Rattus norvegicus: one gene and its partner. The protein of the gene in region 2 binds, or shares a complex with, the protein of the main gene of each other region. Links are inferred from orthologs where the notes say so. Each region holds a gene or a part of one and is shown on either strand. Other genes may lie near its edges.

Region 1 (9,008 bases), on a different chromosome or scaffold from region 2:
CGACTACTGATTTCATCAAGACTGAGATAGAAGAAAATCAAACAAAGAGGAGGCAGAAATATTGCTACAAAAGTCCTACGAGAAATCTCCACTTCTCATCATGGAGCGTGATTAACAATGCCTGAAACGTTATCATTCATCGTAAGGTAACTACATGGTTCAGAAACACAGAAGTAAGAATAGTAAAGTATTCCTCCAAAGGACTAGGCGGAGGCGAGGGCTCAAGCCTGTGACACCGGTACTTGGGAGGTGGAGGCAGGAGGATCAGTAGTTCAAAGTCATCCTCCCTTAGCCTGACTCACAACAGCAAAGACCGGCCTTCACATCTTACAGTCAGGATTGATTTTTCCTTCTTCCTGACCCGCATGTACAGAATGAGAGTCAACAGAAACGAAGCTGGACTGCAGTTACAGAAGACTGACATTCTCGTAGAACTTGTTTGGAACTCTTGAAAAATTATGTCAACAGTGATTCTCTGAGTGGTAGATTTTTAGAACTTTACCTTTTTTCTCTTTGTTTATCTAAATTTTCTATAATAATCTTATGTTATTTGTACATAATTTTTAAATGTATTTTTTTTCTTTTTGAGACAAGTTTTTGCTATATAGTAAAGGCTGGCCTTGAATTCCAGATCCTTCTGTCTCAGCCTCCCAGATGTGATAATAAGTATGTGCTATCGTGTCAGCTTGTGCATGCGTGTAATAAAACCCTGCATCTCTTATATTCTTCTGAAATGCCTTACCTTTTATTGTGGTCAAAATGAAGAAAGCAATGAGGGTGTTGTTGATGGCGCAGGTAGACTTGGCAACACAAGACAAGATCGTGTAGGGATTCAGGAGATAGCTAGGGAAAACACATAGATCTGTCATTAGCAAATCTCATCAGTGGGCCAGGGCCCTGGCTACCACAACCTTGAAGTTCAACTCACTTCTTTTTTTTTTTTTTTTTTTTGGTTCTTTTTTTCGGAGCTGGGGACCGAACCCAGGGCCTTGCGCTTCCTAGGTAAGCGCTCTACCACTGAGCTAAATCCCCAGACCCTCAACTCACTTCTTAGCCAAGCATCCCAAACAGAAGAGGATAAATAAAGAGGATAAATAAAGGCACTTAGCAAAATCATATATAATATATGCAAAGCTGTCATGTTTCTATTAAAGATCCTATAAACAGCAAAAATTTTCTAGCTTTTATTCTGTTTTTAGTGTTTTCTTTTACACCGTTGTGTGGTTTTTTGGTCTCATGTGGCACAAGCCAGCCTTGAACTAGTGATGACCCTGCATTCCCACCTTCTGGCTTCCACCTTGTCAGTGCTGGGATCTCAAGTGTGTACCACCCGGCCAGCAACATTATCCTGCTTTTGTAGATGAGGAAACTGAGACTCACTGATTAAATAACTAGTCCAAGCTTTTAAAGCTATTAAATATACTCAAAAAATCAAGTCTTCCTGGTTCTAAAGCCAGCATTCTTTTAATAAGCCCTCCTGATAGTCAAGCAGTACTGACTCCTGAGCCAGACCCACAAACAAAGTATCCTCCTAATTCTACAAGTTAGTTGGCACAGAACTTCACAGGACATCTTGACCTCCCATTATGAAAGAGTTAAACTGGAGTCTTTCCCTGCTAAGGTGGGAAGGAATGGAATCAGAAAATAAATCTAAAGTGTTGGAAAGTCTTACACAGTCAAAATGGATTCTCTTTATTTCTGTCCTGCTTCTACAAAAAAATCTGCACCACCTAAAATGAAAATAAATAACAAAAATAATAGTAAAGTAAAACCAGCCGTAATCAAGACCAGGGGAAATATATAAGAAGAAAATAGAACACAAAGCTAAGAAAACCAAAGAGCTACAGCTGGACAATAACAGCCTCAGACAAGTCTACAGCTGTACAGTAACCAACCTCAGACAGGCCTACAGTTGTACAGTAACAACCTCAGACAGGCCTACAGCTGGACAGTAATAACCTTGGACAGGCCTACAGCTGGACAGTAACCAACCTCAGACAGGCCTACAGCTGGACAATAACAACCTCAGACAGGTCTACAGCTGGACAATAACAACTCAGACAGGCCTACAGCTGGACAGTAACAACCTCAGACAGGCCTACAGCTGGACAGTAACAACCTCAGACAGGTCTACAGCTGGACAGTAACAACTTCAGACAGGTCTACAGCTGGACAGTAACAACCTCAGACAGGTCTACAGCTGGACAATAACAACCTCAGACAGGTCTACAGCTGGACAATAACAACCTCAGACAGGTCTACAGCTGGACAATAACAGCCTCAGACAGGCCTACAGCTAGACAATAACAGCTTCAGACAGGTCTACAGCTGGACAATAACAGCCTCAGACAGGTCTACAGCTGGACAATAACAGCTTCAGATAGGCCTACAGCTGGACAGTAACAACCTCAGACCTGACTGAGTTTCCCACCAGACAAAGGAAGAAAGGCTAGTTACATAATTCTGATTATCTTAGAAAAAGATTATAATAATTATTCCCAAGTAAAGACCTTAAGTCTAATACTACTTCCTATGAATGTAAGATTAGTAGTTCTAAAACCAAACGCCTAAAAACTCTTGGGGGTTTGGTGGGTTTTTGTTTTTTGTTTTTCCAAGCAATCAGACTTGTTACACAACCTTTAAAGAAATGGCTGCTGCTATTATGAAACTACCCTCAGGGGATACAAGAGTCTATAAGGATTCATTATGTTGCTAAACTTTTGGTCCTATTAAAGTATTTCCCATCAAATTTCTGAAATATGGAGTTGGGAACAGATATGCCAAAATTATCTCATAGGAGAAAAAACACAAAACCTTTTCTAAGTAGGGGGTGACACTAAAGAAGCAGCTGTCTAGACATCTACCTGGAATACTGAATAGGAAATTCATACACAGAGCAAAGGCTCCTAAGATGTACCCCACACCATCCCGCAGAATACCTAAGTGGTCACCAAGGCTGACCTTGAACCTCTGATCTTCCTGCCCTTTTCCCAAGTGGTAGGGTTACAGACAAGCACCACCATGCCCAGTTTATTTGGTGCGGAGGATCAAACCTTGTAAGCTATGCAAGCATGCCTCTAACCAGGCTCCCTCCACAGAATACTGCTACATAGCACAGATTAGCCTCAAACTCTGTCTTCCCTCCATTAGGTCCTGTGGCTGAGATCACAAGCATGTGACACCGTATCCAGCTTCTAATTCTAAAAAATTCTAAGGGCATGTTTTACCATGAGGAAATGTATGTTTTGTTTAGTATGTGTTCCTAGAAACTAGCATGTTATTATATCTGGTGACTACTGGCTGATTAAATAGTTCATCTTGCCTATCTCAGAAACACAGATGAGAATGATCTGAAAGGATCATACTCACTGGGCATTAATTACTCCCAGAGAATTCGTTCTTAAAGTGTCAGCCACTGCCACTCTTCCAAGCTGGTCACCTAGCCCGGTGTTCTAAATTATAAACAGGGAACTTAATTATACATAAAATACAGAAACTATGTGAGACAGCAGCACACAAAGACCAAAATCTTTTTCAAGACACCACTAATAAAGGACTACCATGTTTTAGAAGCACTAGTTCTAATCAGGCTGGAGTCCAGGCCAGCACTGAGTCAGAAGGCCTTTGTGAAGGGTTTGGCTGTGCGTGCCCCTGTGTGAGTCTTTGTCTCAACAGAGACAGAATGGCTCTGTCGCTCTTGCTGGCCAAAACCCCAGTTGTGCAAGAGAAGTACAGCAAACACTGGATGACTAAGACTGCAAATCTCTACAACTACAACATGGGCAGAGGCTCATCAGGATTTCCCTTCGTTTCTTGGCACTGAGTCCTGATTTGTGGGGGAGTACTCACAACAGGGCCACTTTCAGAGGGATGTAGCGCATTTCCATAGGTGTCCGGATGAGTTCGGCCACATCTGGGGCATACTGGTCCAGCTCTAGGAGAAGTTTCTGCTTTTTAAACTAGAGGTGGGAGAGGACGCACAAGACACACAAAACAGATGATTTGCCACTGCTTTCAGGATGAAGACAAAAATCTTTGCCCTGGTCCACACCACAGTCCGTCCTGCTCTGCTTCTTCAGGCTCCTCACTCTCAGTCCCCCACCTAACCCCAAGTCCCAGTGCATGAACAGGCAATGCTCCTCGTGACCCCAGAGCTCTTCCCCAGCTGACTCCCACACAGCCGTGAGACTTCAGCTCCGCCTTCCCTTCCCAGGAAGGGGTGCACTCCTTTAGTGTGGATACACATTTTACCACAAACACTCTCAGCACTTCTGACCGCTGCCTGGGTCCTCCCTAGAGTGTAAGTTCCACAAGGGTTCGGGTTATTTAACTTGCTCTCTGTGTATGCCTAACACTTAGCACAGGGGGCAAATGAATGGACTAACGTATGGCAAAAGCCACTTAGTCACTCTGGGAGGTACCATCAGTGGTGGCAGGGCTTAAAAGCTCCATCAGCAAAACATGTCTAAGCAGTTTCAGGGATCCGGACGCAGTGTCTCAGGTTCCCTTCCTCATTCCTCTGTCAAAGGTTTGTTTGTTTGATCTTTTATACTGGCAAGGAGGAGTGTAAAGGAATTATGATGAAGGCAGGGACTGGAATGGCTGGGGAGCTAGAGAGCTAGGATGCAGTCACACAGGGGTGGAAAGCTCTTTGTTCCCCCTTGTATCCCAACAGAGTCTCGGATGTGGGCTCCGAAAAAGAAACATCATTGCAGAAAAGGACAGATTAGACTAATGTTACTTTTGCCAAAATCAACTGGCTACTGTCGGTCAGCATTCATGTCCCTCAGGCTGATGGGAAAGGAGGGCTGGTTGTGGAGTCCCCTCAGAACCAGTGTTCCAGGATGCTATGCAAGACTACAGGGACAAAAATCTCAAATCCTACCAAGACAAATGTTCTCAGACTATAAAGATCCTTTTAACAAAGAGAGACTTTTTAAATGTAATCTTTATTTATCCTTTGATATGTCAGACATGTACACAGTATTTTAACCACAGCCAGCCCCCAGGGCTCTCTTAACGACCGCTCACTCCTGCTGTACTCTCCAACCCAACATGTCCCTCTCTACTTTATTTTATGTATATGGGTGTCTTGCTGGCACATGTCTGTGAACATGCATGCCTGAAGCCCCTAAAGATCAAAAGAGGGCTTTGGATCCCCTGAACTGGAATTCTGAACAGTTGTGAGCTGCCATGTAGATGCTGGGAATTGAACCTGAGTTCTCTAGAAGAGCAATTAGTGCTCTTAATCACTGATTTCTAGAACCTCTCTCTCTCTCTCTCTCTCTCTCTCTCTCTCTGTGTGTGTGTGTGTGTGTGTGTGTGTGAGAGAGAGAGAGAGAGAGAGAGAGAGAGAGAGAGCGCAGTTGAATTTAATTAGCGTGATTTGCATGAGACCAGTGGGAGGCACTACTTACTAGAGCATAAACAACTTACCAGTGGTGATAATACTGAAGGAACGACTCCTCCTCCTTTACAAAGTGGGGCCTTTCGGGAATACATGCATTAACATTCTACCTAAACCTGTAATAGTGCACACACCTGTCCTCCCAGCACTCAGGAGATAGCCCTATTAGGGCTATGCCACTAGTTCAAGGCCAGTATAAACTACATACAGAGGCTCTGTTTAAAAAAACAAACAGGGCCAGCAAAGAGCTGGGAAAGTGAAGGAACTTGCCATCAAGTCCAACAGTAGCTTGAGCTCAGCCCCTGAGACCAACATGGTGGAGGAAGAGAGCCAATCCCTGCAAGTGGTACTTTGCACGTGTGCCGTCACAAGTGCACACATGAAATAAAGCAGGCACAGAGTACCGCTCAGTAGAAGACTGCCTCACATACACAGGACCCTGGGTCTTACGTACTCACTGAAAAGAGAGAAACAGAGCAGTGTATGTACAATCGTCCTGTGGACTGCTACTTTCAGCGTTCATATGAAGGTGATCACAAATTCTAGGTCCACTTGAGCTCTGTACCAAGACCCTGCCTCAAAACATAGCAACAGAAAGGCTGGGGAGATGGCTCACTGGCCGTGGGGTTGATCCCCAGCACTACACAAACAAAACAAAAGAGCTGGCATTCAAAATGAGGTCATTTGTGACAGAATGTAGATCAACCTCACTCTAACCAAGAGATCCAATGTTATAATAATCTGAACTCTGGAAATAGGGAAACAAAAACACTTCGAATTTTAATTCAGTTGTGGGGCCACATGGTGACACTCAATTGTCTGTATCTCCAGGTCCAGGGTATCCAACACCCTCTCCAGACCTCTGCAGGTACAAGGCACACATGTGTCCTCTCAGAAGCCTGGACAAGGAGAATGGTCCCAAGATGTAAGTCTCCTTGGCTATTACATAATTAGGGGTAAACTTTATATCAATACTTTTTTCCCCTATTTATTTGTACACAGGAGCTCACACGTAGCACAGCGTGCTTATGGAGCTCATAAGTCACTTGCTGGAGTCAGTTCTCTTCTTCTGTCGTGTGGGTTCCAGGGACTGAGCTCAGGCTGCCAAGACTGGCAGCAGGCATGTTTACTGACTAGGCAATCTTGCCAGCCCAATCTGCCAAATTCTCTAATTGAGATTATTCTGTTAGGGCTGGGGAGTGCGGCTCGGTGGGATGGATGGTGCTTACCTAGCATTTTCCAGGGCCCTGCTTTCAATCTCCAACCCCCAAATTACCGTCTGAAGGAAAACAGATTTATCAACAATGGGAATCCAATTTTACTTCAAGAGGCCTAATACAGTGAGTTAAAGGCTACATTCATTTTTTTCCTTTGAAAAAGGAAAGACTTTTCCATGTTTATTTTAGGGGCTGGAGAGACAGTGCAGTGATTAAGAGCACTTGTTCATGCACAAGACCCGGGTTTAATTCCCAGCACCCATATGGTGCCTCACAACCTTCTATCCCTTCAGTTCCAGGGGATCCAACATCTTCTGGTCTCCAGGACACTGCACGTGTGGTACACAACCATACTTGCTCACAAAATACCCCCACAAAAATAATAAAATTAAAATAAAAATAAATAAAATAAAATTTAATTTAGATAGTATGTCATTAAGCCCAGGCTAGCCACAAACTGGTATAGAGCAGAGAATGACCCTACTCTTCTCATACAGCCTTTGCCTCCCAAGTGCCAGGACTGCAGGTGTGAGCTAATACAAACACGCCACTTCTCTCTCTCTCTCTCTCTCTCTCTCTCTCTCTCTCCTTCTTTCCTTTCTTCTTTCTTTCCTTCCTCCTTTCCTCTCTCCTTCCCTCCCTCCCTTCCTTCCTTCCTTCCTTTCTTGAAGTGTGTGTGCCTACATGTGTCTGTGTGTGTAGTAGTGTACGTGTCACTGCACATAAGTAGAGATCAGAGGATGACTTCCAGTAATCATTTCTCTCCTTCCCTGGAGACAGAACTTACCTGAGGCTTGCTAGCAAAGGCCTTAATCCAATGAGCCATCTTAATTTCTTAACATTTTTACATAGTTGGATCTTAAAGTACATGTCTTTTGATTCTTTGCCATAAGTGAGTTACCAAATACCACCAGCTTTGTCCTACCCGCTAATGACTTACCACAACTTTATTGAAGTCCTGAATTGCAAAATACAGGGCAATAGCAGTGAGGGCATCTGTTATCTGTCAAGAGAAAGAGGAGTAATAGGAAACAGAACCAGGATACTGAAGAACTCCGGGATGGTACTGCACTGACTACCCAGTACCTAACTCAGTGAGGCCAGGCTTACTTAGGGAGATAGGACAACAGATGCCCTGGACTACTATCCAGTCAGTCTGGTGGCCCACATCTCTAGAAAAGCAAATTAAATGCAAACAAGCCAGGCACTGCAGTTAATCCATCTGATCCCGGAAGGCTGGGGCTCTCATGAGGTCAAGATCAGCCTAGGTGACCCAGTGATACTCTGTCTCAGACAAAGCAAAGCAAAGCAAAGACGATGTGTTTGCTGTATGAAGGGAAGCGGGAGTAATGCCCACTGATCTGTAAGCTGCAGGCACCTCACACATCCCACGTCCCAATACACAGCAGCCATTAAAAATAAGGAAGACTTCGGGGTTTCTTTTTTCTTTTCTTTCTTTTGAGGGGCGGGGGGGTTGTGTTTAAGACAAGGCTTCTCTGTATAGCCCTGGCTATTCTGAAACTCTCTCTGTAGACTAGGCTGGCCCCAAACCTAGAGAGTCACATGCCTCTGCCTGAGTGCTGGAATTAAAGGTGTGCGCCACCACCGCCCGCTGACATCAGTGTCCCTTGTATCCTGACCCAGATTTTCAACTCCAGACTAATGTTTCAAGCTGCTCTGCTCTCAAAACTCACCCTGTGGGGCTGGGGATTTAGCTCAGTGGTAGAGTGCTTACCTAGGAAGCACAAGGCCCTGGGTTCGGTCCCCAGCTCCGAAAAAAAAAGAACCAAAAAAAAAAAAAAAAAAAAAAAACTCACCCTGTCATCTCAGTCTTCAATTCTTGTCCTTGAAAGCCTCTTCAGCCCCCTCAGAATATCTTGGCAGAATACTTAGGAAACTCAAGATGCCCTCCAACTTGGCACAGTTAAAGCCAACCATAGAATTTGGGGGCTACAAATTTGAAGACTACGTGACCCAGAAACCAAAGAGCACGGAAGTAGAACTGAAGTAGGACTGGTCAGAGTCCCCACCTATTCCTCATACTCCATACCACCACCCCAAAGCCAGGGTACACACTAAAGATATTAAGGCATGGCTCTTGCTTTCTGAGAAACTCCACTTCCTATTTTACCTTTCAATTTTTTTTTTCTTTATAGACCAATGTCTCATGGTACAACCCTGGCTGGTCTGGAATCTGCTATGACTAGGCTGGTCTCAAATTCACAAAGATTCAAATGCCTCTGCCTCCCAAGTGCTACAATCGAAGGCCTGTGCCAGCACACCCAGCTCTTCATTTTCTTAAAAACAAACTGTAAATACAAATCTGTATATATAGATATTGATTTTCTCTGGGAAGATACTTACCATAAATACCAATTCTGCAT
Region 2 (9,456 bases):
TACACATTAGTGAAAATTAAGACAAATGCCACCTCAACAATATTTTCCCCACCATTCCTTCTTAATATTCATGTAGATGAAAAATGCTGGATACATTCAGGACATGTGAAATGACTGTTTACCTTTCTTCCTGTGTATTCCCCCAAATACACACACACACACACACACACACACACACACACACACACACACACACATATATCTCCACTTGAGTTTTAAGTGACTGCTACAGTTCTGTTAAAAACTGTTAAGGCCAAAGACCAGCCACAATGCAGGGAGGGAAATTTTGTACTAGATGGGCCTAAAGGGGCAAAGACTGGAACTCAGTGGCAGGGCTACTTGCCTCAGCGGCTTCCATATAGTCCCTCCATGTGTAAGCCTACCAGGTAAGCCAGTTGTCTCTTTGGGGACCCACAAAGAAACTTTTAAAGTTATTTTGTGTGTATGTGTATATGCATGTCAGGGTGCGTGTGTGCTGAGGACTTGTGGGAGTTAGCCCTCTTTACGCTGTGTGAGTACCAGGATCAAAGACAGGCCGTCCGACCTGACAGCAGGTGCTCTCACCTATGGTGCCATCGCTCTTGGCTCAGAGTGAGATTCTTTGAAACCACCAAGGGCCAAGAGGAACCAACTCACAGGAAGCTGGGAACCATCAGAGGCGTCCCAGGAAGGTCCCCTGGCCCTAAGTTGATTCTAATGAATTTTTTATCTTCCTTGGGCCTCCCTTCCAAGCACTGAAGCCACTACTGGGCAGTGTAAAGGCACCTCCAGACCTGTTTCTTTTCTTTTCATTTTTAAAAAAACATTTTATTTACTTTACGTATGTGAGTACACTGTAGCTGTCTTCAGACACACCAGAAGAGGCGATCAGATCTCATTATAGAGAGTTCTGAGCTACCATGTGGTTGCTGGGAATTGAACTCAGGACCTCTGGAAGAGCAGTCAGTGCTCTTAACCACTGAGCCATCTCTCCAGCTACTCTTTTCGTTTTTTAAAGTGTCTTTGGTCAAGGCCTTGTGGCCATCCCATGATGTGTCTCCAGACTAGTCACCAAAGTTTCTGACGTGGTCCTAACTTGTTAGAAAGAGCCATACTTCTTTTTCTTGGGATCCTGTCACAACCTGCTTCCTTCTGTGCTGGCTCGCCAGTGTTGCCCTGCTTTGGGGCTCTTTTCTCTCTCAGCCTATTGCTTCTGGGTGCTGGCGAGACTAGAGTCCTACCTTTTCCTACTATGTAGAGTTCTACCTCTAGTGGGCACCTTGCCTTGGCTTGTGCTACTTGAAGTAAGTGGAGCCTTATACTTCTTCTACTCCATATGAAGCCCACAGTAAAGTTCTAGCCTTGGCTAGAAACAGAGTCCAAACCCTGAACATCCTAAGAGGTTCCTTTGTCCTTTCAGTCAGAACTGAAGATGGAGTTGTGAGGTCCCCAAGGACCACAGCTACTGCTGGCCCTCAAACCCTGGCTGCAGATTATCTCATCTAGCACCAGAATCGCTTCTAGCATAGCACTGGACAGCACTGCATACATACATGGGCCTGCCTACCTGCAGGCCACCTGCAGGACTGCATGGAGAGCTGGGAATGGGTTTACACTTGCCCTTCAGTGTCTAACTGAGGCTCTCCTCCAGACGTTGATGGGGCCAGACCCCCACGTCTGCTACCAGGAGAGAAACACCTGAGAATTCAAACAGGGTGGATCCTTCAAAGAGGTGAGTGGGTGCCAAGCAGCTTGCCAGGGGCGCCGAAAAGACAGTGGGCCAGGATCCCAAAGTACAGAAACAGAGCACTTGTTTATTTTCCAGGGAGGAGGTAGAATGGAGGCTTGGGGTTCCCTTCCCAGAGACCTCACTTCCAGAAGAGAACATTCCAGAAGAGCAGCCAGCAAGGATACAGACCCAAGGCCAGTATTGGGAAGAGGAGGGCACCATAGGTGTAGTGTTCCAGCACACCCTGGGCCAAGGCAGTCAGGAAGAGCTGCCAACCCTCTGCCAGAGACAGTGGTACCTCCTGGAGCTCCCGCCACAGGAATAGGCTACCGAAGAGTGTGACTGCTGGGCTGGTCACTACCAGCAGGGCAGCATAGAGTGTCCTGGTGGGCAGAAGGGCGACATTTAAGTATGCACCACAGTGGATGCCAGCAAGTGAATAAATGAGGGTTAAGCCTGGTGAGGGGCAAAGATACTGCTAAGAGGTTGACCAGCACGTACCGGGGTCCGTGGGGCTTCGTGAGTGCAGCAGCAGGTACCATGGTGGCAGCCAGCAGGAAGCCCAGGGAGAAATTGAGGAGAGCAATGCAACCCAGCTGCAGTGCCAAGTAGATCAGGGCCACCAGTTTCAGCGCCATCCAGCCCCGGTCTGGGACCTGTGAGCTGACCACTCTACAAGGTAAGAGGTTCAAGGGCAGTCCAGAATCCACCAAAGTGTCCAGGGGGCCCACCTCCACGTGCCCAGCCCAGCAGCTCACCGGTGGGTGTTGTGTGGCAGGGCTAGGCCGGCTACATAAATCGCTAGCAGTGTCAACACGACAGCCTCAGCTTCAGCCACTGGGAAATGCTGGGCAGCTACATGTTGGCCCAGCACAGGTAGGAAATAGAGGGCCAAACCCATGGCCTGAGAGATCAGCAAGGGCGCCATAAGTGAGGCCAGGCTCACGCTCTGCAAAGTACATGGGTACCTGGAATCAGGCCAGAGGCCTAGGGGAACCTGAAGGACTCACACTGAGGGTTGACCACAGGAAGCACTGCTGGGGACGCTGAGAACCCATCCTAAGAGCAGTGGAGTATGACGTCACCTGTGTTGCCAAGGGTGGAGAGCCGGGGCCAGGGGCCTTCCCAGCCTCCTCAGGGTTCACTCCAGCCTCGTGTAACTGCATCCATAGCTCGAGAGCTTAGACTAAGTCAAGGACCTCGACAAGAATTGGATGGGACCTGCTAGATGGGAGATCATAGGCTCGCTGCCACACCGCTACAGTAGGAATGAAGGACTAACCCCACTTTACAGTTAAAGGGATCTGAGTTTGGCCACAAGTGAGTATCGAGAACGAGGGTGGAGGATATCTTGAGTCCAAGGACCAGGAGCAGGAAGCCTGTGGCGGGCATGTAGAGTCCAATGGACACGAAGCGGGAGAGGGCGGGCAGTAGGTAGAAGAAGAACGACTGGTGCAAGCGCTCCAGGAGGTGGTTGAGCTTTCGGAACATGCCCTCCAGAGCCCTGTCAGGAGCACAGTCAGGTCAGGGCCAGCCCTCCTCTCATCCCAGCTAGATACCGCCTCGAACACGGAGAGGGTCCAGAGACTTACTTGCCCACTGCCACCAAATCATACTTGTATTGGCGGAAGCTGTTGATGCCACGTAGGGTTAGGGCCTCCACTCCGTAGCGCAGGAAGAGGCCATGGGGGCCATGGGGCCGGCCAGAGGCCTGCCGCAGCACCATGAGAAGCAGTGTCTGCAGGCCCTGCAGAGGCCCTTCCAGTGATGTCCAGTCCTGGGGCTGCAGCTTTGGAGGCATGGGGACAGGATCAGACTCACCCCGTCTCATAGGCCCCAGGCTCCCAAGCAGGTGGTCCCACCTTGCCCTGGAGTGTGCACAACAGCCCCCCTTTCTGGCAGAAGGTCTGGAAGAGGTTGAGCAGATCAAGGTTGGGCAGCTGACCGTTGAGTCCCTCCACGGTCACGTCGAGGCTGGTGACTACATCACTGCTCAGCTCCAGGGCCACAGCGGCCTGGATGGCACCAGCCCTGCCCTGCAGGGGAGATGACTGTATGCCTGTAGGAGCAAGCAGTGAGCACTGGAGTGGGGTACAAAGTGACGACAGCTGACCCTGAAAGAGGAGCGAGACTAGTGTAACACGTACCTGTAACATTAATGTCATGGTAGGCCTCAAGCCAAGCCTCAGTGCCCAGAAGATCATGTTCTGTTACCAGGAAAATTATATCTTTGGCCCAGTAAATCTGCCCTGGAAACCAGAGGCAGGGTCAGCAAGGGCCTGGGGCATTGGTCAAACCCTCCCTGACCAGAGCCCCAGAGCCTCACCTCGGAAATGGGCAGCGAGTGCCAACAACAACCCCACAGCCTGGCTATTGGTGGTGTCTGGACCACAGGGTACAGTGAGTACCAGGGACTCGGTACTGGCAGCACGTGGGGCCCGCAGGATGCCATACACATTGGTACCCGAGACCATCTGCACAAAGTGTTAATGGGAAAGCCTCAGCAGACCTTACAGAAGACAGGCTGAAACCTGCCTTCTTTCCTGGCACTACAATGCCCACCACCAGAGATCTTCAGACCGTCCCTCCCAGAATTTCTTGGTTCCGGGGCACTTCAACAAGATGCCCAACCCAGGCCACCCTTCCAATGTACTTTTCTCCCAGGCACACCCATTTCCCTCAATACATAGCGCTCATGGGTCTCATCCGGGAAGGGTAGTTTGCGGGAGAAGCTCTGAGTGTAGACCTCCAGTCCTACGGATCGCATCGCCCTTTCCAGCCAGGCTACTGGCAGAGCCCTGGAGACACAAAGATAGCCTCAGGTAGAGCTCCATGGTCTCGGCCACACGTGAAATCCCCAGCTCGCTGATAGGCACTCACCCTGGCTTCTTGCGGTGGGCAGCAAAGTCCCGGGCGAAGTTGCGGGCACGGTCTCCACCTACAAACTGCTCCTCCACCATGGTGGAGCCCATGGCATTCTCAGACATATAAGTGCGCTGGGTTAGCGGCGGAAAAGCCAGCGCCAAAAACCAGGCGATGCCAGCTACGTAGCTCAGCACACTGCGAGAGAGTACAGAGGACAGGAATTAGCCCGACCTGGAACGCTCACTCGTGGTTTCCATCATGTCCCAGAGGGTCCAGCTGGATGGTCCAAGACATTAAGAACCCGGAGCCGAAGACGGGCAGTGGCGGTACACGCCGTTAATCCTAGCATTCAGGAGACAGAGGCGGGCGCAGGCAGATCTCTGAGTTCGAGGCCAGTCTGGTCTACAGAGGGAATTCCAGAATAACCAAGGCTACACTGAGAAATCCTGCCTCCGGAAGAAAAAAAACCCAAAAACCCGAGACGTTATATTAGGAATGGATAGGGATCAGAGCTCCAAGCTCAGTGCCTGAGTGACATTTGCAAGGAGGGCGCAGATCCTGGAGCAGTAGGCGCGAGTGGAACTACAGCAGTTCATGTTCCCGCGAGTCCCGCCCCCTATACCCGCCCTCACCATAGAGGAGTGTTGAGGCGCAAGACGATGCGGGCGAGCGCGCGCCGGCGCACCGGGTCCGACAGGAGACCCATGGCGGGGCGCGGGGCTCAGCTCTCGCCGCAGCTTGACACCTCCAAGCGCAGGGTTCCTGTCAGACCCGGCGCCCCGTGCTGCCTTTATTTCCGGTCCCAGGATCCGTCGCGCCACTACGCTTGGTAGCGTAGGGGCAGATGTCGTTGGAAACCACATTCTGCGCATGCTCAGTATTGCAGTAGGCTGGAGAAATACAGGATGCTGTCACGGCCAGTGGGCGGAACTGGAACCTGAGGTTGTGAAGCTGCGGGCAAACAGCTGGAAGGGCAAGACACTGGCCGAACTCAAGACAGAACAGCAATAGCGTGCCTGCCTAAAGGTTCTTCTCGGGAGTGTGTGACACAGGTGGGTACGGAGCTGGAACAGCGAAAAGACTGTTGCCTGCTGAAGTGAGATATTGAATGACTGTTATAGCTATGACTTAAGGGCCCCCATGTGAACTGAGGATCCGTTGTTGAATCATTTCTATGGATGTCATGAACCTTAAGTCAGTGGGCTGACTAGCACAGTGGGCGAGTTGGTGGCCAGAGGAGAGGGGTAGTGGTGGGTCAGAGGAGTTTTTCTAAGAGGGTCCAGAGGTAAGGGTCTAAGAATAAATGGCCAAGGGGCTGGGTGATTTAGCTCAGTGGTAGAGCGCTTACCTAGGAAGCGCAAGGCCCTGGGTTCGGTCCCCAGCTCCGAAAAAAAGAACCAAAAAAAAAAAAAAAAAAAAAAAAAGAATAAATGGCCAAGAGGCAACAAAGGTTTGATATCCTTCTAGAGCCCAAAGAGGCAAGAAAGGCCCAAGGAAAAACATTAATCCAGTGGTTCTTAACATTCTACTTTTAATAGAGTTTCTCATGTTGTGGTGAACCCCAACCATAAAATTATTTTGCTGATACTCCATAACTAATTTTGCTGTTATGTCATAGTGTAAATATCGGATTTGCAGGATATCGGATAGGAGACCTCAAAGGGGTTGTGACCCACAAGTTGAGAACCATTGCATTAGTCTAACCTTACATCTCTTGATGAGCACACATAGCCACCTCAGCCTTGCACTCATGTCTCTGAAGAGTTGTGTAAGCAAGGCACATTCCTTAGTCTGAGGGCATGAGTGAGGAACACAAGTGATGGGAGAAAGCGGACTCCATTTTGAGCCTGCTTGTCCCTTGTTTGAACTGCGATTAATAGAAATATCATAAACAATCCAGGAAGAAACTGCCCTGGGCTAGAGCCAATCAGAGAAATAGAGGGAAAGTGTCTAAAATTCCAAAGGTTACAGATAAATTGCTCATCATTGACCAATCCTTGTGCACCAAGATACCCCTTGCCAAATAAGGCAACTGACAGGCTGGAGACCCCCTCCCTGCTCAACCCTTGCTAAGTAAGGCAATCGCTATGCTGGAGACCCCCGTTCCCTGCTCAAACTAGTATAAAAACCTTGCCTAAATGAGGTTCAAGGTCTCAGCACAAATCTGATGCTTGGAGGATTCTGAGGGTCCAAGCTTAAGTGTGAATAAAGGCTTTGCTTTTGCATACAAATCCAGACCCCTGGTGGTCTTTGTGGACCCTGATATCTGGGCAGGCACAGCATGAGCACTCTTGCTCTTCCTAGCACAAGTGTTCTCTCCACTTAGGGACTGCAGTACAAACTGCTATGTAGGGCCCTGAGCTGCTTTGAAGTGCTGTACATTACAGTGTGTTCAGGAGAGGAACAGGCCTTTATTCTGGATATGGGGGGTTGGCCTCAGTCCCCCAGTAAGATAGAGGCCTCCTGCACATGCTGCCGGACAACACGATCCAGCAGAGTGTGCACATCCCGGGCTGCCTGGGCAGCAGCCTCGAGCACCTGCTCCAAGTGGTCTTCATGCAACCTCGAATCCATCTCAAGCAGTGCAATCTGGCCAGAGGCTGGCAGCAGGGCCAGGGCTAGCTGGGGCCCGCCAGCTGCTTCCTCCACGTGACTGAGGTCCGCTAGTGCTGTGCCATCCACAAAACCAGCCGAACATGCACACACAAAGTCCCGCATGGGTATCCCAGCATCCATCACTGCTAGCGTGGCTGCATTCACACATGCTGCATAGGTCCCACCGTCTGCTTGTAGCACCTGCAGGGGGCATCAGGACATCAGACATCTCATCCTCCAGCATCTCAGGCAGACCTCATCCCCTTAAGCCCCGCCCCCGGGGGAGTGGTTTGAGGCTCACCTGCACATAAATGTCTATCTGAGAACGTGGGTGCAGCTGTGTGAGGATAGCTGCCTCGAAGGTCTGGCGTAGCTGCAGCCCCATCTCACAAGACTTCCGGTCTCCATGAGGCCTTCGCTTGCGCTCACCTGTGCTGAAGGTTGCTGAACTGTACTGACAGTTCACTAGAGCCCGGTCAGGCAGAGCCCGTGACCGGGAGCCCCGGATCTGGAGGAAAAAAGAAGGAATGAGCCAGGGCCGCCTACCTCCTGGGTCACACTCGATGGCTCAGCCTTCCTCCTCTTCTTTCTAAAGTGCTTCAGAAAGCAGCAGCTACTTTGGTTCCAAACCATGGCAGGCGGTTTAGGGCTACACTTCGGTCTAAGCCGCACCACTGTCACCTTCCGCAAAAAAAACCCCTTTGTTCTTTAGTTGCTCCATTTCTTCCTAAATCATTCCCATCGTGGTCACCATGTTTACAAACATGTGATTTGACTGTGTCACCCACACACTAATATTTTACTTACCTTCCAGAAGCTTCTCATTACATGTAAAAGAAAATCTCAATTTCCCCGACCTTCAAAGCCCTGGGTCCTCATCTCCTTGGTTAACCACTCAACTTTATTTGATCTACTGTCCCTCGGTCTACCAGTAGTCTGGCCTAATGTGTTCTAGACCTGACCTGGCTTCCACCTAGAAAGCTGAGCAAATTGCTAGCAAACCTTAAAATGTGGGCTCATTGGTTAAGAGCACTGACTGCTCTTCCAGAGGTCCTGAGTTCAAATCCCAGCGACCACATGGTGGCTCACAACCATCTGTAATGGGATCTGATGCCATTCTGGTGTGTCTAAAAGACAGTGACAGTGTACTTATATATAATAAACAAATAACAAACAAACAAAAAAACCCTTAAAATGTGCATGTTTGCCGGCCTTGCTACACCACTGAGACAAAGCAGCAAAGGCAGGCAATTTATAATGTCTCTGTCTTGGGAGTTTACATTCCAGTAGAGAGACAAGAGACATGGAAGACTGAGGAAAATCGATGTAGCAGGGGCAGAAATAGCCTGGGAGGCCTTTTCCGGACAAGATGTCAAAACACTGGACTGAAAGAACAGGGACTGAGTGTAGCTTTGCCAGGATGTATGAGGCACCTCAGAGATGAAGAGGGCAGCCCAGGAGAAAAGAGGCCCACTGAGACGGAGGAGTTAAGCAGTAAGACTCATGTCCACTCCCACGATGTGCAGCCATGAGCCCCCAGTCCCTGCATGAGACAATCATAGTAGTTGTGGACAATCTGAAGCAGCCCCATATCCCACCCGTGGGATTAAAACAAAAACATAATCACATAACATAACTGGGTTCTTAAAGAAACCAATATTCTCAGTTCATCATGGGACCTAATACTTATACAAATTTGAGGGCCATGTTAGGGATGCAATTCCCCGAGAGGACTCAGAACTCGGGGTATAATTATATTCATGGCTTAGTGGATGTAACACAAAGGAAGGATTGAAATGGAAGTTAACCAAGGGAAAGAGCTCGTGAGGTGAAATCAGAAGAAGCCAGGTCCTCGCAGATGCACGCACATCATTTCCCCTACAACACGGTGGGACAACGTGTGTTGAGATGCTTTCTGCCAGGGAGGACCCCAGAAATTCAAAGATGGGATTTTAGTATACTGCTGCATAGGTAGAGGAGTTAAGCTGTAAGGTCTACTTCCTCGTCGTGCGGCCACGAGCCCCCAATCCCTGCCGCTTACTCGCCTCGTGAGGCCCGTAGACCACCGCCAGTGCCTTGGTGTTGCCCTGCTCGATATAAGCCGAGCCATCGGCCTGCGCAAACACGCCCATCCGCGCCTGAATCTTGCGCAGCTCCCCCGCGCGGCGACCGTCTATCCGGTAACCCTGATCGGACAGGAGCTCCAGCCCGGCCATGTTGCGCAGTCCTCGCTCCGCCTCCGAGAGCACGACCCCTTAGATGACCTGGGCTTCCGCGACTACGACTTC

The links.
Region 1: the proteins of Gpaa1 (region 2) and Pigu are in contact, whole or in part, in a cryo-EM structure (PDB 8IMX), measured with the Homo sapiens proteins. The link is inferred for Rattus norvegicus from reciprocal best matches to the Homo sapiens genes GPAA1 and PIGU. Residues at the interface, in NP_003792.1 of Homo sapiens: Gln245, Leu310, Arg311, Arg313, Phe358, Leu359, Ile371, Ala389, Leu390, Trp393, His397, Leu500, Ile504, Leu508, Cys512, Leu515, Thr516; in NP_536724.1 of Homo sapiens: Tyr349, Ile355, Phe356, Cys360, Ile363, Val364, Leu367, Leu368, Val371, Leu372, Leu375, Ile377, Tyr378, Ala379, Gly380, Ser381, Phe386.

Annotation. Positions count from the first base shown.
Region 1 is NC_086021.1:164,288,093-164,297,100, forward strand, and holds part of Pigu (phosphatidylinositol glycan anchor biosynthesis class U protein precursor), read right to left. Parts: coding exon 8,989-9,008; intron 7,628-8,988; coding exon 7,565-7,627; intron 3,960-7,564; coding exon 3,850-3,959; intron 844-3,849; coding exon 743-843; intron 1-742. UniProt on the Homo sapiens protein: Component of the glycosylphosphatidylinositol-anchor (GPI-anchor) transamidase (GPI-T) complex that catalyzes the formation of the linkage between a proprotein and a GPI-anchor and participates in GPI anchored protein biosynthesis.
Region 2 is NC_086025.1:109,928,457-109,937,912, reverse strand, and holds Gpaa1 (glycosylphosphatidylinositol anchor attachment 1 protein), read right to left. Parts: upstream 5,358-9,456; 5' UTR 5,280-5,357; coding exon 5,206-5,279; intron 4,769-5,205; coding exon 4,589-4,768; intron 4,507-4,588; coding exon 4,395-4,506; intron 4,183-4,394; coding exon 4,035-4,182; intron 3,958-4,034; coding exon 3,856-3,957; intron 3,768-3,855; coding exon 3,571-3,767; intron 3,498-3,570; coding exon 3,301-3,497; intron 3,213-3,300; coding exon 3,059-3,212; intron 2,890-3,058; coding exon 2,794-2,889; intron 2,658-2,793; coding exon 2,467-2,657; intron 2,381-2,466; coding exon 2,210-2,380; intron 2,092-2,209; coding exon 1,848-2,091; 3' UTR 1,774-1,847; downstream 1-1,773. Other genes in the region: Exosc4 (exosome complex component RRP41), read right to left, coding at 7,010-7,369, 7,470-7,676, 9,214-9,384. UniProt on the Homo sapiens protein: Component of the glycosylphosphatidylinositol-anchor (GPI-anchor) transamidase (GPI-T) complex that catalyzes the formation of the linkage between a proprotein and a GPI-anchor and participates in GPI anchored protein biosynthesis. Binds GPI-anchor.